3 linked regions of the Nothobranchius furzeri genome follow. The protein of the gene in region 2 binds, or shares a complex with, the protein of the main gene of each other region. Links are inferred from orthologs where the notes say so. Each region holds a gene or a part of one and is shown on either strand. Other genes may lie near its edges.

Region 1 (6,230 bases), on a different chromosome or scaffold from region 2:
ATCTACACAAAACACAATTGCATAAAGTTACAGACTTTGCACAAACGTTACCATAAACGGATCAAAAGTTAACTAAACAATCTAATAAAATGTGTAGGAACTCACTTTTTTCACAGATGACCCCTCCATAGCAGGATGGTGGAGGTCCACTGCTTCTGTCCACTATCCGTGTTTCTGTTTTATTCCATTGATGAAATCAGGTGTCCTCACTCATCATACTGTTGTTGACGGGGAACCTTGCAGACTCGGTGTACTGTAGCAGCAGTCATCAGTGGTTGTAGACAGTGAAATCTCATTATGCCATTCAAGATTACCTCACAACCCCCACAGGACACAGGATGCTAGATTAGTTAATTACCACAGACGCAAATACCACTTAAAACCAACGAAGCATGTAGATGACTGCTCTCCCAACAAACTCAGTCACCAACAAAAAAAGTGTTTGTGTGAATTATCTATTTGAGTACCGGTATTCCCTAAAAAATAAAGTTCTTTAAACTAGGATTTTTTCCCAAAAGGATGTCACTGTATATTTGTGAAAAATAAAAACTCCAACTTTATCACTGTTATTTTGAAATGCTCTCTCTCTCTCTCTCTCTCTCTCTCTCTCTCTCTCTCTCTCTCTCTCTCTCTCTCTCTCTCTCTCTCTCTCTCTCTCTCTCTCTCTCTCTCTCTCTCTCTATATATGTGTATACATACATATATATATGTATATATATATATATATATATATATATATATATATATATATATATATATATATATATATATATATATATATATAATTTATTTATGTGGTTTACTGGATTTAAATCAATCTGTGTTAGATTAAGATCACAGTTGCTCAGATTATTTACAGGCAATCATTTCTCAAGTTATTTTGACCAGCAATTGTGGGTTTATTTGTTAGTAACTTTTTATCAGATGTAAAGTATTCTGTGTTACGAAAAGTGCTCTACAAGTAATCTTTGATTTACTGAATGACAGAAAAATTACAAGAACAAATAAAAACATAATGAAACAAAATCACACACATTGATTTCTCACTGTTGAATTGTTTATATTTTTTAATACTAAAGAATAGAAAAGTGTCTCGTTTACAAGGAACAATTTAGTATTTTAATTTTGATTAGCCTTGCAAAGCTTTAATCCAAAACATTTAATCAATTAAACAAAACAAAACAACAACAAAAAAGAAAAATTGTTGGACTTTTCCCACAACAAACCACTAGATGGCGACAGTCTCCAAGCTGGCCATGTCCCATGATGCAACGCGTGCGCTTCCTTTTATATAGAGCCGGAAGTGTATAGCCATCATAGCATGAGTGGCTGGTTGTGTGCGTGTTGTTAGTTAGCGAGCGTCTGTGTGAGTGAATGTGGAGTATGCATGTTGTATGTGTGTATATTTTTAAAAACCTACACAGTGATCTTATTTGATCTGGTCTGAGTTTGGCTCTGCTCTGACTAGAAATGATAAAAAAAGCGCTCGCGAGCTTCTATGGGGGCGATGAGCAGCCGGCGACAAACACCTAATGGGGCCTCCACATTTCGTGCTGTGGTCAGAAGTGATGAATTGATCAGATATACTAGTTCTGGGTCGGCTTGAGGTTCGCCTTAAAGCTTTACCTGTAAGAACAATGAGTAAAGAGGCGATTCTGATCTCACCACAGCCGAAAAGAAGCCACGAGACCCGCATGTTAGGAAATGGTGAAACAAAAGTGGCTTTCATTTGTATAGATAAAGATGGATGGATGGATGATCTTTATTGACAGACTCTTATGTCCAGATTAAAAAATAAATAAATAAAACAAAACATTAAAAACAAATAAGATAAAAGCATAAACATCTAAATCTATTTAAAAAAACTTACTATAAAGATGTTCCACACAAGAGTAACCACACAAACACTTCAGCCAGTGTTTCCTTATACTGGACAAATAGCGACAAATGCTCACAGCAGGATCAGTGATTGCTAAAATTATACTGTTGGCAGAGCTATCCAGTCGTTCTCTAAAAGTGAACATTAGTTTTCTTAAAAGAGCTTTAAAGTACAAATGCCTGCTGTTACAAACATCTGACTGGCACTGCCCCCTCTGGGTATTTTGAGTATGATTCTTAAGGCATCATTGAATGCAACATGCAGCTTATTCATGCTGCTTTGATTGTAAGATCAAAATTACTGCCCAACAAAACCAAAAATACTGCTCAACCACAGTTGGGCTGTATAAAGCGGAGTACAATATGCTTTAAATAAAGCCACCTTAACTGGTGAACAAAAACTTACGTGCTATAGTATTATTGGCCTGTGCATACAGCTTACAGCACCATGGCATGTAGTCATGCAAATGCTAAAATTGGCCATTAGAGACAAATTCGGACTTTTTTATGAGCAAAAACTACACAAGCATAAAAAAAATTACACAAGCATATCCGTGTTCCTGTTTTACTTTCATACATGTTCTCGTGATAGTTAGCGTTAACATTTTTATGTACATGTGACCTCTTAAAAGCTCAGCAAAACGCGCGAGAATAAGCAACGTGATCGTAGCCGAACCGTAGCCGCGAAGAGAATTTTGTTTAGTCGCTATGGGCGAATCAAGTAAAAGACCGAGATTAAGTCAAATTAGCAGAAACACGCAGACTTCTGCGAGCAGAGCAAGCGTGTTCAGAGGTGGACACTCGGATATTGCCGGAGGCGTTGGTACATTTGTTGAGGGTTCCATCCTTCGCATCACGATGAGAAACTTCCTGTAAGTTGTAGTTCCTTAACTGTCAAGAGTTCTACCGGTAGCCAGCAAACATCACATTGTGCTCTTAGATAACATACAAGCTTATAATAGCACCATTTGTTGTTTTATAAAGTTTTAAACCTTTTGATCACGTAGTTTGCGCACAGAAGTGAACAGCTAGCATACAATTAGTGGTTTAACGGCTCAATTTTAGCTGTTTAAATATAGTGATACAATAAATACAATGTTTTGTGTAAAATTAGCTATATAAGATAACATTTTGCGCAGTGTGACATAACCGAAAACTCCTAAATGTGTTTTCTGTCCACTGACAGAACGTATGACTTCTCTGTGGTCCATCCGGGATCCAATCTGAACATGATTGTTGGAGCTAACGGGACTGGGAAGTCCAGCATTGTATGTGCCATCTGCCTGGGTCTGGCTGGAAAGACAGCAATTCTGGGCAGAGGAGACAAGGTACACAAACCACCTGCACTGGTCTACTTGATTTATTCTGAAAAAGACCATTTAAGAAAGCGATGGAGTCAAGATTTTTATTGGTTTGTTAAAATCACACTGGTAATAAAGACATATAAACATTTGCAGAAACTATTTAATTTCTGTTGTTTATGCACCACAGAGTCATGATTGCTACAAGCTTTTAATGGTTAAATAAATTGATTTAGATTATTTATGCAGGTTGGGCTCTATGTCAAACGTGGCTGCAAGAAAGGCTCTATTGAGATTGAACTGTAAGTTACTTTACATAGATTTTCCTCTATTACACTTTTTGTATTTTTAATCTAAATTCCAGATTGATGCTCTTGCATAACAAGTACCAAGCTAATGGTTGACCAGCCAGATAACATTAGACATGCTTGCATGAAATGATGTCTGTTTTTGCCTCTACAGGTACAAAAATGGAGGTAATGTGATAATTAACAGAGAGATCCATGTAGAGAACAATCAGTCACTTTGGATGCTGAATGGAAGACACTGCAGCCTGAAACAAGTAGAAGAAGAGGTCAGGACTCTGCAAATTCAAGTCAGCAACCTCTGCCAGTTCCTCCCTCAGGTAGGTTTTCTAGATGTGATCTAGCTCAGTGGCCTAGTGGCAGAGTGTCTGTTCTGGGACTGGGAGATCAGGGATTGGATTCCCGGTCGGGTCATACCAAAAACTTTAAAACTGGGACCCAGTACATCCCTGCTTGACACTCAGCTTTAAGAGGTTGGATTGGGGGTTAAACCACCAAATAGTTTCCAAGCGCAGCCACCGCTGCTGCTCACCACTCCCCTCCATGGGGATAGGTCAAATGTGCAGATGAATTTCACCAGTGTGTAATGATGACTATGTGACTTTAACTTTAGTGCTTCACTTGTGCAAAGTAAAACGTGTCAGAAATCTTCATTTTCTAACTTCTTCTCTGTTCTGTCACAGGAAAAAGTTGGAGAGTTTGCAAAAATGTCCCAAATTGAGTTGCTTGAGGCAACCGAGAAGTCGGTTGGACCACCAGAAATGTACGAGTACCACTGTGAGCTTAAAAACTTCCGCAGCAAAGAACGAGAACTGGAGGTGAAACTTTATTTTATTTGTGTAACAGTTTTTTTTTGGGAATAACTGTTTAGATAATCTAATTCCCGTTGAGATCTCAGCTATGTCAGCTGGATTGTTGTTACATGATAATTACATGTTTGCTGTTGTGAAAGATGCAACTCATCGTTTCGCTGCGGTTTTGGCGGGATGTTTGTCTGTAGAACGTCTTGAAGGAGAAGACGAGTTTCCTGGAAAAGGCCAAGCAGAGGAATGAGAGGAACAAGCTCGATGTCAACCGCTACTATGAAAAAAAGCGGCATCTTGACGTCATCGAGCTGCTGGAGAAGAAGAAACCGTGGGTGGTGAGTTATTCACATAAAGCACTCTGCACAAACTGTGGAAACAAATCCAGTTTGTAATCTGATTACCCTCTTTGGCTTTGATATCAGGAGTATGAAACCACTCGTAAGGAGCTGGAGGGTGTGAAGAAGGAGCGAGAAGAAGCCAAAAAGCAGCTTTTGACCCTGAAGCAAGCCCAGGCGCCCATGCTGAAGAAAATCCAGCAGATTGATGAAAAGCTGAAGCCCATTGAGGCAGAAATGAAAGCTAAGGTGACCGAAGGTGGCTTGCTGTCTAAATCTGTTACATGAACATTAAGTTAAACTAACCATGTGTGTTTCAGACTGCTGCTATCAAAGAAGCTTCTCAGAAGTGCAAGCAGAAACAAGATCAGCTGGATCGAAAACATAAAGAGGTGGTGGTGGTGGTGGGGTGGGGGGGGGGGGGGGTGTTGCTCAAAGAAGAGGAAAAAAAAAGTAACAATTAAATGTTTGAAATAACGTCATCCTTGTGGCTCATCTCTCCTCTGCAGATTGATGACATTAAACAGGCACTGAGGATGAAGCAGATTGAAGAGGAAGACCACCAGAAAAGAATCGTCAACACTAGACGGACCATCGAAGACCTGAAGGTGGAGCTGGACAAGCTCGGAGACCAACTAGACACCACCCTGCTGATTTCTGCTATTAGTGTGGAACTTAAGGAGATCCAGGAGAGGACAGCCAGGATTGAAGCGGAAAAGGCCGACCTGCGCAGGGAGAGGGACAACGTCATCGCAGAGTCCAGAAGTGAGTTTAAAACTAAACAGACTTTACATTTAATGATTAAAATAACAGACGGCATTGCTAGGATTTTATTATTTTAATGCCAGGCTTGCAGAAGAAGCTCAATGACATGAACAACCTGATGAACATGAAAGAAGAGAAGCTGCGGACACGCCACAGGGACACACACACCGCTCTCCTTTGGCTCAGAGAGAACAGACAGCTGTTCAGAGGAAACATTCATGAGCCCATGATGCTGGTGGTGAGTTCCATCACTGGAAATGTGTATTACTAGAAGTTTTAGTTGCTGTAAAATGCCGAAGTTTGATGTTTCAACCCACAAGTTTAGTCATAAATGTATTAAATGAAAAATAAAATCTCGTTTTCCTATAAGTAGATGTTAAAACGTAATGGTTACTTGGCCTTCGTTATCACAGATCAACGTAAAGGATCATCAGAATGCCAAGTATGTGGAGAACCACATCTCCTTCCACGACCTGCGAGCGTTTGTCTTCCAGAGGAAAGACGACATGGAGAAATTCTTGGTGGAGGTCAGGGCGGTTTGCATTCAGAACACTGCTCAGCTGAGAGACAGCATTTCTGAGTGTGAACATGTAACTGTTCATAGTAAGAATTTAAAATATTTTCTTCAGGTTCGTGACAAGATGAATCTGAAAGTCAACGCCATTTCTGCTCCGGAGGTGTCCTGTTCTGGACGTCCACCGTCAAGAAACATCGAGTCCATGAGGTGAGAGAGAGTGAAAGTGTGTTAATGATCAGCCAAGGTGGGGGCTGCTCCAGTGTGTTTTCCTCTCCATCTGCCACCCTTTTTATTTATCAGATACGGTTTTTTATTTTATCGTC
Region 2 (5,917 bases):
AGGAGCTGTTTGTGTGTGAGCTGCTGGATGTTTTGCAGTTTGGCCCTCAGCTGTGCTCTCTGAATCTGCTCCTCCTCTTGAACAGCTCGCTCCTGCAGCTCCCTGAGATGTTCCTCCACAGCCTGGGCTCGATTTTCAGAAGACCGTTGGAACTTTTTTTCCAGTGTGCTCCTCATCTGTGCCTCCTCTTCCTCCACCTGTTGCTCCACCTGCTTTTTCAGTAGGATGTGTCGCAACAGCTCCCTGCGATTCTCCTCTTGCAGCCTTTTTTTCTCCTTCTTCTCCTGCAACACTTTGCTCCTAAATGCCCTCTGCTCCTTCTCCACTGCGATCTGTTGCTCCTTCTTCAGCTCCCTTTTTTCTAACTCCTCTTTCTCTCTCATAAACGTCTCTCTCAAGCATTTGCGCTTTTCTGTCTCTTTTGCTGCAAACTCCAACTTTTCTCGACGTTGTGCCTCTACCTTCTCCTTCAGCCTCCTCCAGCGTTCATCTTGAAGCAGCACCACCTGTTCAAGATGGCCTGCCTTCTCTTTCTCCCGATGCTGCATCCTCCTCTTGCGGGCCTCCAGTTCCTTATGCCAACGTTTCATACTCTGCTTAAGTCTTCTTCTTCTATCTTTATCTGCTTGGACCTTCTGGGTCTCCTCCTCCCTTCGGACCTCCTGCTGCTTTAGTTTCTCCTGCTGTGAGAGCTTCAGGCGATCCTGCTCCTCTTGATGCTTGACCAGCATGAGAGCTGCTATCTTACGATCCCTCTCTGATACTGTGACGCATGTCTTCCTTTTGATTTCAGCTGTGAGCCTTTGCAGCTGCTTTTCCGTGGCAGGTGAGTATGTCAGGTTTCCCAGGTGGAAGCTGCTGATTGTGCTCCTTTCTGGGTCTCTCGTGTCAGAAGCAGAGCAGTTGGACCTGCAAGACTGTTTCCCTTCAGTGCACAGATCGGCATATAGAATAGGCTCTGATGTCTGTTTGTCTGACATTTTTGTTTTAGGCAAAACTTCCAAGCTTGAAGCTGCATTACTCACAGACCTCCTGCTGCCAGACACTGAGACATTCTTCTCCTTCTCCTTATGGCACATTTGTAGAACCTTTGATTTTTCTTTCCTGTAGGATTCATGCATAACCCTCATGGCCTCGAAAGGCATGTCATGCTGCTCTGTAATCAGGTTGTTCAGCGATTTAATTAGAAGCTGAACCGGTTTTATCCCGAGTTGATGGCAGGAATCCGGCAAGCTTGGACTTGCTAAAATGCAATGGCTCTTCTCTGCTCCCACTGACTCAAAATTGTTCAGGTCTGCACAGAAAAAAGGGGACTTCGCCTCCCCCATCTTAAAAGTTCTGACACCTTGACAATATGCTCACATAGGACTGGATTCTACTGATCCGCTCACCTCTACACAGCCTGTCCAGCACGGAGATGAGGTCAGCAGGGGATTACCGTGTCTCCACCTCAGTAGTAACAGGAATAGAGGCTTATGTGTTTTCTGTTGACATAGCAAAGCTGATTTTAGTTAGCAAATTAAATAATGTGTGTGTTAGATTTGTGCTTTCTGCTATATTGGACTTTAGAATAAAATAGACTAGAATAGAATAGAATTCATTTTATTGTCACTATACACATGTGTCTCAGTTAAAAGGCAAATTTAATGTCACAGTGACTTCTAGAGACTCAGCTTATTTATCCCAAATTATGATGCTAATTTAGTTTACGTAAACATTTCTTTAAAATTGATAGAAGTGACACTTAAAAATCTGAGCAGAGACGTTTTGAGTAGGACCTGGCTGCAGACCTTGGACGTTTTTGGTTACCATAACAACACTGCGGCAAACAAAGAATTTTATAAAGAGGAGCACCCGCATTAAGTTGGTGCTGTCAATTTTTGTATTAGCGCCATCTACTGGCAGCGTTTGCCACAACAAGCCACTGTCATTTCTCAGACAGGTTTAATGTTTATATTCAGATAAACATTTCTTCTGGCTCTACCTGTGTATCTACCTCACATAAAACTAATAGAATAATTTTAGATTTATGTTTTGAATTTTTAGATTCTCTGTGTCATATATTTTTAATTTTATTTTTTAAAATAATCCTTTGATGATCTGCTTTTATTTTGACGGGTTGTGATTTGTCACACAACTTCCTGTCTGCACGCGAGAACTCTGGTTTGGACGTATTCTTTGGTTTTAATGCTTGTGTCTTTGCTTATGTAACCTGTTTTATTTTTTTTATGCGTTGCACTTAAATAAAACCAAAAAAGTGCTTCTTCGAGGCGACAATTAACCTCAAACGCTTTTATCGGTGCGACTTTCCAACTCACCTAGCTAACTTTCGTTTAGCACGTCGCGAGGACAAGAATAAACTACAGTCTAACGTTCGCCACGGATAACTCAAGGTAGTGAAATTGTGTCTTTATATTTTTCTGAAGTTCTTAAGAGAACTACGTGTTTACTTTTCCATACAATCGGACGCTTGAGTCGACCAACACTGCCTTTATTTGTTTGAAGTTGACTTTTTAAAGTAATAATTCCCCTAACTGTTGATTTGCGACTTTTGTAGCACGCAGCTAGTTTCGGCAAAGGCTGAAGATGAGGAGGTCTAAAGCTGGCGGAAACGTGGAGACTCGTCGGCAGAACGGCTCCTCTAATCAGTTAGCTGATCATCGTGAGGGGGAAGACGCTAACGGTGACTCCAGCTCGGCTGCTCAGCAAGACGACGAGGATGAAATTAACAAACAGGGCCAGAGGAGAGAGATAAGGAGCAAGTACCGAGACCTCATCAACTCAGTACAACGTGAGTGGATACCCGGACAGCTTTTACCTGATGTTAGTCCTCCCAACACGTCATAAATCCATCTACTCCTTGACTTTTCTCCTTCAGAAAACAGGGAAGATATGCTGAGTCCATCTAACAACAAGCTCACAGAAGTTTTGGAAGAGGCCAACAAACTTTTTAAAGATGGTAGGTGTGATGCAAGTAATTTGTTAGCAGATTACTTCTAATGTTACAATTCTGTGTCCTTATTTAAGTCATTTATCCTGATGCAGCCACTCAGAATGATGAGGTTGATTTGTGTGACAGTTCGACAGCCGAGGGAAGCAGCGCTCGATGCCAAGCTCCTTGTCGCAGCCACAGACCTGGGAAAAGAGAAAGCCAGCCAGCTGTTTTCTGAGGGGAGCACGTTTGATCCTACTGTATTTACTGAGCACCTTGTAAGTGTGTTTACTGTACTATGCACAGCTATAATCACATATCTACACTGTATTTTTCTGAGTTCGTGCAATCAGAAGTCCTGCACTGGTTGCATAAGTTAGTGTTGCCACCTTTTAAAAGTAAAAATAATTTGTTTATATCAGGGAGCAGATTCTGGGTCGGTTAGCAGCGCTGCAAAAACCTCAGTTTTGACGATCACGTGGTCGTGCAATTTGAATTAGCAGTTTTATTTTGAAAATGACAGATGGTTTACCCCAACTGCTACACAAACAACCAAAAGAAGTGTTGAAAGTACCTTTTCATCTCAAACAGCTGTCCTTCATGGGTCTGAACCGACTTGAAGATGAGGAGGATGATCATCAGAATGAAGGTGAGGGCTATCTGCCCAAAGACGCTTGGCACAGACTGGCCCAGAGAACAGAGAGCTGCTTTAAGACCGCACCTTCTTTCCACTACATGTGAGTACCAAACAATGCTACGTACCAGCTATAGCTCGTATTTAAACGGGACAAATGAAGACAAGATACACATACATCTGAAATCCAAATTTCTACAGTTGTTTTTGTTAAGTCTTATTTTGGTTGTCTTCAACAGGATGGGATCCTTCCATGCAGAACCACCTCCTCCAAAGCAGAGAACAGAGCGGCAAAGAAGAGCTCCCAATAAGGAAGCCAAAAGAATGATGCCCACTCAGGTAACTAAACTTGTTATATTTCTGTTACAAACCTGTCTGTGCAAAAGGTTATAGGTAGGAGTATTATCCCTTAAGAAAACAGAAGCCTTAAAGGTGTGATTCACCGAAAAACCAACCACACAGCAGGACTCTTAACAGGCTTGTGTTGCTTGTAGAGATAAAACATCAACGTTGGAAAGCAAACAGAGTCAGTGGTAGAGTTGTGTTGCTGTTTTCAGTTCTGAGGTGAGATGTCCAAATATCAAGAAATAAGACTCCAAATCGTCTGAAGCTACTTTCCTCTACAGTTTACTTGTACTTTCTGATACAGGCCCATCTGAACTCTTCTCAGTATCACAACTTTAAAGAGCAAGTCACCCCCTACCAGAGTATTACTCCCACTAGGGCTGGGCGATATGACGATTTTAGACCGTTTTACGATCTACACATCTGACGGTCTGTCATTTTTGAGAGACCTTTAAATCACGATTCACAGCTCTGCTGTTGAAATTCTGCCTCTGAATGAAAAGGGAACTTACCTCAGGCAAATGACACGCCTTTGTTTGACCCTTAATCAATCAGAGTGAGTCATAGTAATATATTAGTGCCCCACTTGTTTTCACCTGTGTGTGAACAAACATGGCTTCAGCCGTGGCTGAGAGCGACAACGAGGTTTTCGTTCCGAAGAGGAATGCCTTGTCCATTATATGGAACTGGTTTGGTTTTTCACTAGGGCCGGGACGACGCGTCGACGTAATCGATTACGTCGACACGTAAAATACGTAGACGCAAATAATTTGCGTCGATGCGTCATCACGTTCAAAAACAAACATGGCAGCAGCGAGTAGTGGCAATGTGAGCGGGGCAGTCGACTTAAATCACTCAACCCGAACTCGCAGTTCAAAAGTATGGGACTATTTTAACAGAAAAGGAAGCGATTCAGTCGTTTGCCGGCTGTGTAAAGTGGAAATGGCCTATCATATAAGCACGACTGCTATGCACCGGCACCTCAAACAAAGGCATCCAGGAGCAGCTTCTGCAAACAAAAAAACACCGTAAGTTTTCAACTTTTTTTTTCTACTAACGCTGTTTTATAACATCCAAACACCACCACGTAGCCATGCACTAACTCACACACACAAGCAGGCCCACTCTCACACAAAGATAAACACTCAACCCCTGGAACTCACTAACCCTCATTTAAGCTGCTTAGTAGTAACATACAGCAGCAGCTGTTATCTGTTTTGTTTGTTTTTATTCGTGGCTCATGATGGCCAAATGAGTCGGAATGCGCACGTGCTGATTATGAGAATCGGCGAGAGCTGAAAATGTGAGCGAGCACTAATTGTCCGCAGTAAAAATGTTAACAAAGACAATGTAGCACCTGCTAAATGTAGCCGTCGTGGACATTATTACAATATTGTTGAAGTGCTTGCAAAAGCAAAATGACAACGGACTCTTGATTGTCAAGTTTAATGCCTCATCCTGTTCGAACGTTATTTTTTATACATCATGCTCCTCCAGCTTGTTGATCTTATAGATCTAAGTTGCACCATCTAATGACTACAAAAATGTGCAGCATTTTGTGTTAAAAACCTCTTTTTTAACAAATCTTATCGATTAAATATTTTGATTAAACACTAAAATACAGATCTTCAAATTATTATTTTGATATTATGCTTTCTACATAAATATTTTTGTAATAATTTTAATTTATCTGTGTGTTGTTTGTGTGATTTATGTTTTCAGGAACAAACAGAAAAGTCTGGAGGACTACTGTCGGAAAAGAACGCCCTGCACCCCCCAGGAGGTGGCTGTACTTACTTAGAGCATCCTATCTATGATTCTGAAAGACATGAGACCACTTGCTGTGGTTGAGGGTGAAGGATTCAAAGAAATGCTGACCACTTTTCAACCAGGTTACACTCTGCCTTCTAGGCGCCATTTTACAAGCATGATGGAGAGAAAGTATCAAACTTCAGTTGAGAAACTAAGGAACGAACTAAAAAAGGCCTCGTCCAAAATCTCCTTTA
Region 3 (5,953 bases), on a different chromosome or scaffold from region 2:
GATCCAAAACAGACAGAAGATTTTACCAGGATGAACCCATAGAGTTGGCGGTTAAAAGCTTGTTTGCTCTGTCCATATAACAACACCTGTACTTCCTCCCTATATGGTACCATCAATTACCTCTAGAAGGACATCTAGTGAACAAAAATAAGAACTGGTTAAATGGTTGTTACAGGCTCTTAGATACTAGGAATCTGGAGTTTTGTGATTATCTTGTTTCTTTATTTTTTTTCTCTCTGATTGTGCCCTGTGCAAATTTATGACAATAAATAAATAAATACACTCAACATTAAATAATCAAGATCTCAATTTCAGTCAAAATAATTGCGATTATCATTTTTGCCATAGCCGAGCAGCCCTAGTATTAATACCTAAATAATTTCAGGAATTTGCCACCCGAGCATAGAGACAACAGAAAAAGGTTGTATGACGTAAAAAGGGAACAATTACCTGAAAAGCAACGCTGTGACAGATGTAGCACATCTTGACCTGATCTTGATACATGGCACGAATGTATGGCTCCATCTCTATGATGCACCGAGTGGACAGAGTGTACTCCCCTCGTTTCTAAGGGGGTAAACAACACTGAATCACACGAAAAACACAGCAAGAAGGGAACAAACTGCTTTAATATAATCTCTTAAGTCATTGTTCAACTCAGACTACGAGAGACTTGTTTAGATCTGTTATTTTATATATAATCTAGCTGTGAAAAAGCATTTTTATCCTGAAGTCTGTGTGCAGAGAACTGGAAACCAAATCTAAATGGATAAACTTTATTCCTTTCAGTGTGGCAGACGGAGGTAATGTGTTTTTGTGGGATGCATTCAAGCTCAATTTAAAGTTTGTCTGAAAAATATAAATATGTACACTGAATTTTAAAACAATGCTTGCTATTTAATAACAGTCAACAACTTGGTGTAACAGTTTCTCACACACAACTACAAATTCACACACAAATTCTATATTGTTAGAAAAAATAAGAGCAGAATCAGATGCAGTTTCCCCAAGGAATTTTCCCAGCTGTGGCGGTGGGTGGGGGTGGGGAGTGATTGTGACACGTCTCTAAATAAAGTAAAATTTTCCAGTGCAGTGTGGAGACAACCCATAGAAGCACTGATTTGATCTCATTTCAGAGAAAAATAGAACAGGTTAGATGCACCTAATAAATAAAATTACAAACAAACTCAGGAATCTGTTTCTTTGCTTCCCTGTTCTGGTGCTGAGAACATCACTAATGCGGATCAAAGGAGATGCACAGATGAATGCACCTCTTATTTATTATTTGGAGACTACATTTACTGCAGCTGGCAGAGGTAGAGATTTTTTCTATTGATACACGTAATTTACAGAATCATTTTAAATGTTAATAGGGGAAGACTGCAGGAGGGAGCGGTAAAATACAGGGGGTCCCCAGCAAAAACAAGAAACTACGAGTCTGACGAAACCCGCTGGTTTTCCATCAGGCAGTCACGGGGCAGCTCCAACGACCCAGTGGCTGTGCTGGGTCAGTGTTATCGAGCTCAGTCCGGCTCGGCCGTGAACGAGCCGAGGCGACGTCGTGCTCTGCTTAAGAAGAAGCGTTATTTTCCCGCTTCAGAAGAAGCGTCCAACGTGTTTTTACGCTTTCTCCGAGACATGTCACGTCGCTAAGTTGTTAGCGCCGCACGCTAACACGTCAATAGTGCAACGTAGCCTGCTGGAGGTTTTAAGGGTTCAGATGAAACACCCGACCGCTCAGGCTGCTCACACATCGATCTTAAGTTGTCGCTGTTGCGCTCACGCCGTAATACAGTATTAGATGCGGTTAAAGTCAGACATGAAAAAATAAATCAATTTTACATGAATAAGTGATGCTTAGCCTGGTGGGGGGAGGAAACCCTGTCACTCGTTTATCTTAATGCTATTGAAACACATAAACCAAAAAGCATTATATCCACTGCTACCTTTCTAATTTTAAACTCAGTAACTTATGCTGTAACTTCACCTTGCCCTGCCTGCTCCTCCTTGCTGCCCGCCGGCTGTGATCACAAGCGACAACATAGTAGTTCCTGCTGCTTCTTCAGGAAACAGCGCAAAAAAATAACAATAAAATTAAAAAAAAACTTGGGATCTTGTAGGCGTAGCGGTGGGATTTCAGCTGTGGCGGGCCGCCACGGCTACGCCTATGTAAGGGAAACCCTGAGATGGTACAACTGGTTAAAATGACCAAAAACTGTGGGATTTGTGATATTTTTTCTCAAATGTTGGTGCAGACTTTTATTTTACCTCACAAAGCCATTTGTCGCTCACAAGTCGAGTTAAAAGGTGCTCTGTTTCACTCTTCTTGAGCTTCTTAGTGATCATCATGTCGGCGCTGTTCAGGATGTCAGTGGAGGAAGCTGTGCCATTTTCAGAGCTCACGATCAGGTCCATCTGAATTAGAACAGAGTCATTAAGTCTGTAATAATATAGTAGCAAAATGTATGTGTGTGTTTGAGAACAATGTCTGAGAAAGTTAAACTTCACTCACGGTCTTTCTGAACAACTCCAGTTCATTATCGGCATATTCTGACGACATCCTGGTGATTTCAGTTTCAGCCGTGTTTACCTGGCCAGAAGAATCAGAGCAGAACGACCTTCAACAACAACATGCAATAATTCTCCTGACATACTAAACAGATACAAATCACTGGACCGTCAATAACATTCCTATTTGAGGGAATTAACCTAAGTGTGAACACTAAAGTGGAGTTAAATTCACTAACCAAAGCGTAGAACTGCTGACCATTTTCCTCAGACATCCCCTTCCTAATCTGCATGAACAGCGGCTGCAGCTTTGAGTTGATGGTCTCGATGAACTCATCCAGTTTGTCAGGAGCATATTGTGCTGTCAAAGTAAAGAAAAAGAGTGATTTAGAAGGTAATTTTTTACAGTCAGACAACATAAAGTCTCTAAAAATAAGACGGACAGTAAGGTAAACACACTGAAACTGCCTGAATCTACATGTGAGGTTTTAAATGTTTTATTCTTTTCACTGGATTCATGATTAAAGGCCATTTAATTATCTCTGGAAGTAAAATGCCAACTTAAAATCTCAATAGTGAGGACACTGATCTATTCAATGTTACAAATATCATTCAGGACTCTGCACTAACTCCCCGACCTGATTACTCCACACCAGTCAATGTTTATAAATGTGTGAAAATGTAATAATGAACTCACTTTTGTGTGTTTCGCAGCAGATTTGATGAAGTGCCTTTGCTTTTTTATCATCAATGATGCCGCTGACCATCATTTTCTGCAGGAACCTTCGATGGCTGTCTCCCAGATGTTGTGCCATGGCTACAAACACTGAATCAGCGATCATATTTGAAAAATGAGATCATAATAGAAACAACTCCTCGACAGTTATTTCAATATGAAAATGCATAATAGTTATTTGGACACATTTAGTGCCATCGTGGTCTTTTCCAATGTGAACACCTGTTAATGTTGACAGCTTCAACACTTCAATATAACCAGATAAAAACTGCTGCAACCTCCAAATGCTGACTGCGCTGCAGTCAATAAGCTGCATGATACATTTCAGCGAATCGACACAAAATTAAACCCAAAACACATGGAGACAAATGAAGAACCACAAACCAGGATCTTGACAAGGTTTTGGCGAAAATTGACTGAAATCAGGATTTGTGTGACTTGATGTCAAGATAAACCCAAGAGGATGATTCCGTTTATAGCTCATACTGAATAATACCCGTTTTAAATACTAAACAGACAGCTTGCTTGTGTGAAACACTTCATGTGTTTGCACGTTGGTTCAAAGAGCTTAGCTGGTCTCAAAGGGTTTATTTTTCCTTCAGACTAAACAAAAGGCTGGAAACTGTTCATTTATACACGTGAGTTCAACTTTAAACGTCCTTTTACTCGTGTCCGTAAGAAAATTTCCAGTCAAGCAGCTCATTTGTTAACTTACCGTTTTCGACAACAAAATAAAAAAGAGCAGAATTTGCTCCTTCTCTCCGAGGGGGCGCGCTTTCTCTGTTTCCGTGATTTTTCCCACCAGTGGTGCTGAACGAGCGCCACCTGCTGGTGAGGAGGGTCACGAACGCAACAGCTTCTATTACGAACACGCACCCTCTAAACAATGAATTAACAAATAAACAAAACTCTTCATCTAGATTCATAGAAGAAAGCTATGAGAATTATATATAAAGTAGACGCTAGAGAACATACCAACAGACTTTTTATTGAATCAAAAATTATGAAATTCGGGGATTTGGTTAATTTGAAAACTTTACTAATTATGTTCAGGGCAAAAAAGAGGTTACTGCCAGTGAAGTTACAGGAGTTTTTTGTTTTGATTTCAAATGATGGGAAAAAATAGAAAGAAGCCTGAGTTTAAAAGAGTTTTTGCACAAATAACATTAACGCAAATGTGTATTTCAGTATACCGAGTAAATTTATGGAATAATCTGCATCATGACCTGAAAAAATGTTAAACTACCGATCAATTTAAGAGACTATATAAAGAAAAAAAATCATAGAATCCTACATTGATAAGTTAATATTGAATAAGTATATAGATACGTTTTATTGTGATTTTGTTTACAAAGATAAGGAAGTTCTATACGTGGTTTGTGTATAAGGCCATTCTGTAAATTATATTGTATGAAGTAGAAAGGGGTAGGTCATACAAGACTTCTTCCTCCTCCCCCTTTTTTTCACTTGGGAGACTGTTGATGATTGTATTTTGCATGAATGATGAATGAAACTGCTGAGTGAGAAAATAAATTAACAATTAACAATTTGTCACGACATTTAAAACTGAAGCCTGTTGGTTGGGTCTATGTTGTCATGTTGGTGTTTAACTGGCTTTTATGATTTGGCACTATGATCATTCATTTATAAACATATTTTGTATAAAATCCACTTGGAAAGGTTTTTCAAATGTTCACTTATGTGGAAGACGGTCCTTCATTCTTTATCTCAGCTGCTTAGATAGAGGAGTATGTTTGTTGAGTGTATCTGGTGCTTTATACATCCATAAGGAACAGCAACAAGACTTATTCTAAAGGTTTATTATTCTAGCAAATTAAATAAGAACGTATGATACAAGATGTCTGAGTCTCGGATTATAATATAGCCTATTATTAACATTTAAGTACAGTATCCGATGTCATTAAGCTTTACTGCAGAATTTTTCCTAATATTCTTTGACATTTTCCAACTTCTTTTGAAGCTTTTCACCATTAAGTTACAACAGAAAATGTGTCAGAAAACAGTTGTGTTGTCATTACAGCACTCATCGGGGCAACGTGGTGATCAGTGTGTTTGCATCCAACATAAATTAATTAAGGTCAAAGAATGAAGTTGTGTTTAAAATGAAGTCCCTATATTTAACAATATCTTCTTAAATCACATTATCCCCGACTCTACAAACAGACCACATTCAAAATGTTTTTAGGAGTAAAATCAAAACAGCTTTCTAACAAATAACCTTCTGCAGTTAAAAAGCATAGATTCAACTCAAAGTGTCTGTAGTCAACACCACACTGTGATAACTTCAATCCCAAATCCTAAATTTGACTTGTTCGCTTGCACAAAAAAAAAAAAAAAAGAATCGGGCAACTTATCGACTTTATGCTCCATCATAGGATGCATGTAAAATGTGGAAAAAGGCCAAAGAAATAGAATAAATTATGTGCAAAGGACAGTTTGCCTTTGAGGACTGAAAAATGATATCAGAGATAAAGAAAACAAACACTAACCTTCAGCATTTCACACATTTTCTACACTGATGCCACCTTTCTGGTGATAATGTACTAAATGTTTGTCCTTCAACAAGTATTCGTATCAAACATCCTGAACAAGTGCAGGTGATCTCCGTGTGCGACATTCATCCCAAAATTAAATTTTTTATCATCACTTCCAAATCAAAAAGGGAAATTATCCACAACGTTAAACCTT

Evidence for each region.
Region 1: nsmce4a (region 2) and smc5 share a complex: the UniProt entries of both Homo sapiens proteins name them as parts of the SMC5-SMC6 complex. The link is inferred for Nothobranchius furzeri from reciprocal best matches to the Homo sapiens genes NSMCE4A and SMC5.
Region 3: nsmce4a (region 2) and nsmce1 share a complex: the UniProt entries of both Homo sapiens proteins name them as parts of the SMC5-SMC6 complex. The link is inferred for Nothobranchius furzeri from reciprocal best matches to the Homo sapiens genes NSMCE4A and NSMCE1.

What each region holds. Positions count from the first base shown.
Region 1 is NC_091755.1:27,651,066-27,657,295, forward strand, and holds the start of smc5 (structural maintenance of chromosomes protein 5), read left to right. Parts: upstream 1-2,384; 5' UTR 2,385-2,586; coding exon 2,587-2,750; intron 2,751-3,064; coding exon 3,065-3,206; intron 3,207-3,428; coding exon 3,429-3,481; intron 3,482-3,641; coding exon 3,642-3,804; intron 3,805-4,167; coding exon 4,168-4,302; intron 4,303-4,484; coding exon 4,485-4,625; intron 4,626-4,712; coding exon 4,713-4,874; intron 4,875-4,945; coding exon 4,946-5,017; intron 5,018-5,134; coding exon 5,135-5,390; intron 5,391-5,473; coding exon 5,474-5,628; intron 5,629-5,803; coding exon 5,804-5,917; intron 5,918-6,019; coding exon 6,020-6,114; intron 6,115-6,230. UniProt on the Homo sapiens protein: Core component of the SMC5-SMC6 complex, a complex involved in repair of DNA double-strand breaks by homologous recombination.
Region 2 is NC_091752.1:15,327,161-15,333,077, forward strand, and holds the start of nsmce4a (non-structural maintenance of chromosomes element 4 homolog A), read left to right. Parts: upstream 1-2,131; 5' UTR 2,132-2,393; intron 2,394-2,557; 5' UTR 2,558-2,586; coding exon 2,587-2,791; intron 2,792-2,878; coding exon 2,879-2,959; intron 2,960-3,079; coding exon 3,080-3,210; intron 3,211-3,523; coding exon 3,524-3,669; intron 3,670-3,805; coding exon 3,806-3,905; intron 3,906-5,917. Other genes in the region: coiled-coil domain-containing protein 177, read right to left, coding at 1-1,328. UniProt on the Homo sapiens protein: Component of the SMC5-SMC6 complex, a complex involved in DNA double-strand breaks by homologous recombination. The complex may promote sister chromatid homologous recombination by recruiting the SMC1-SMC3 cohesin complex to double-strand breaks.
Region 3 is NC_091744.1:4,221,356-4,227,308, reverse strand, and holds the start of nsmce1 (non-structural maintenance of chromosomes element 1 homolog), read right to left. Parts: upstream 4,251-5,953; 5' UTR 4,171-4,250; coding exon 3,960-4,170; intron 3,335-3,959; coding exon 3,206-3,334; intron 2,870-3,205; coding exon 2,748-2,869; intron 2,591-2,747; coding exon 2,513-2,590; intron 2,416-2,512; coding exon 2,269-2,415; intron 568-2,268; coding exon 451-567; intron 1-450. UniProt on the Homo sapiens protein: RING-type zinc finger-containing E3 ubiquitin ligase that assembles with melanoma antigen protein (MAGE) to catalyze the direct transfer of ubiquitin from E2 ubiquitin-conjugating enzyme to a specific substrate.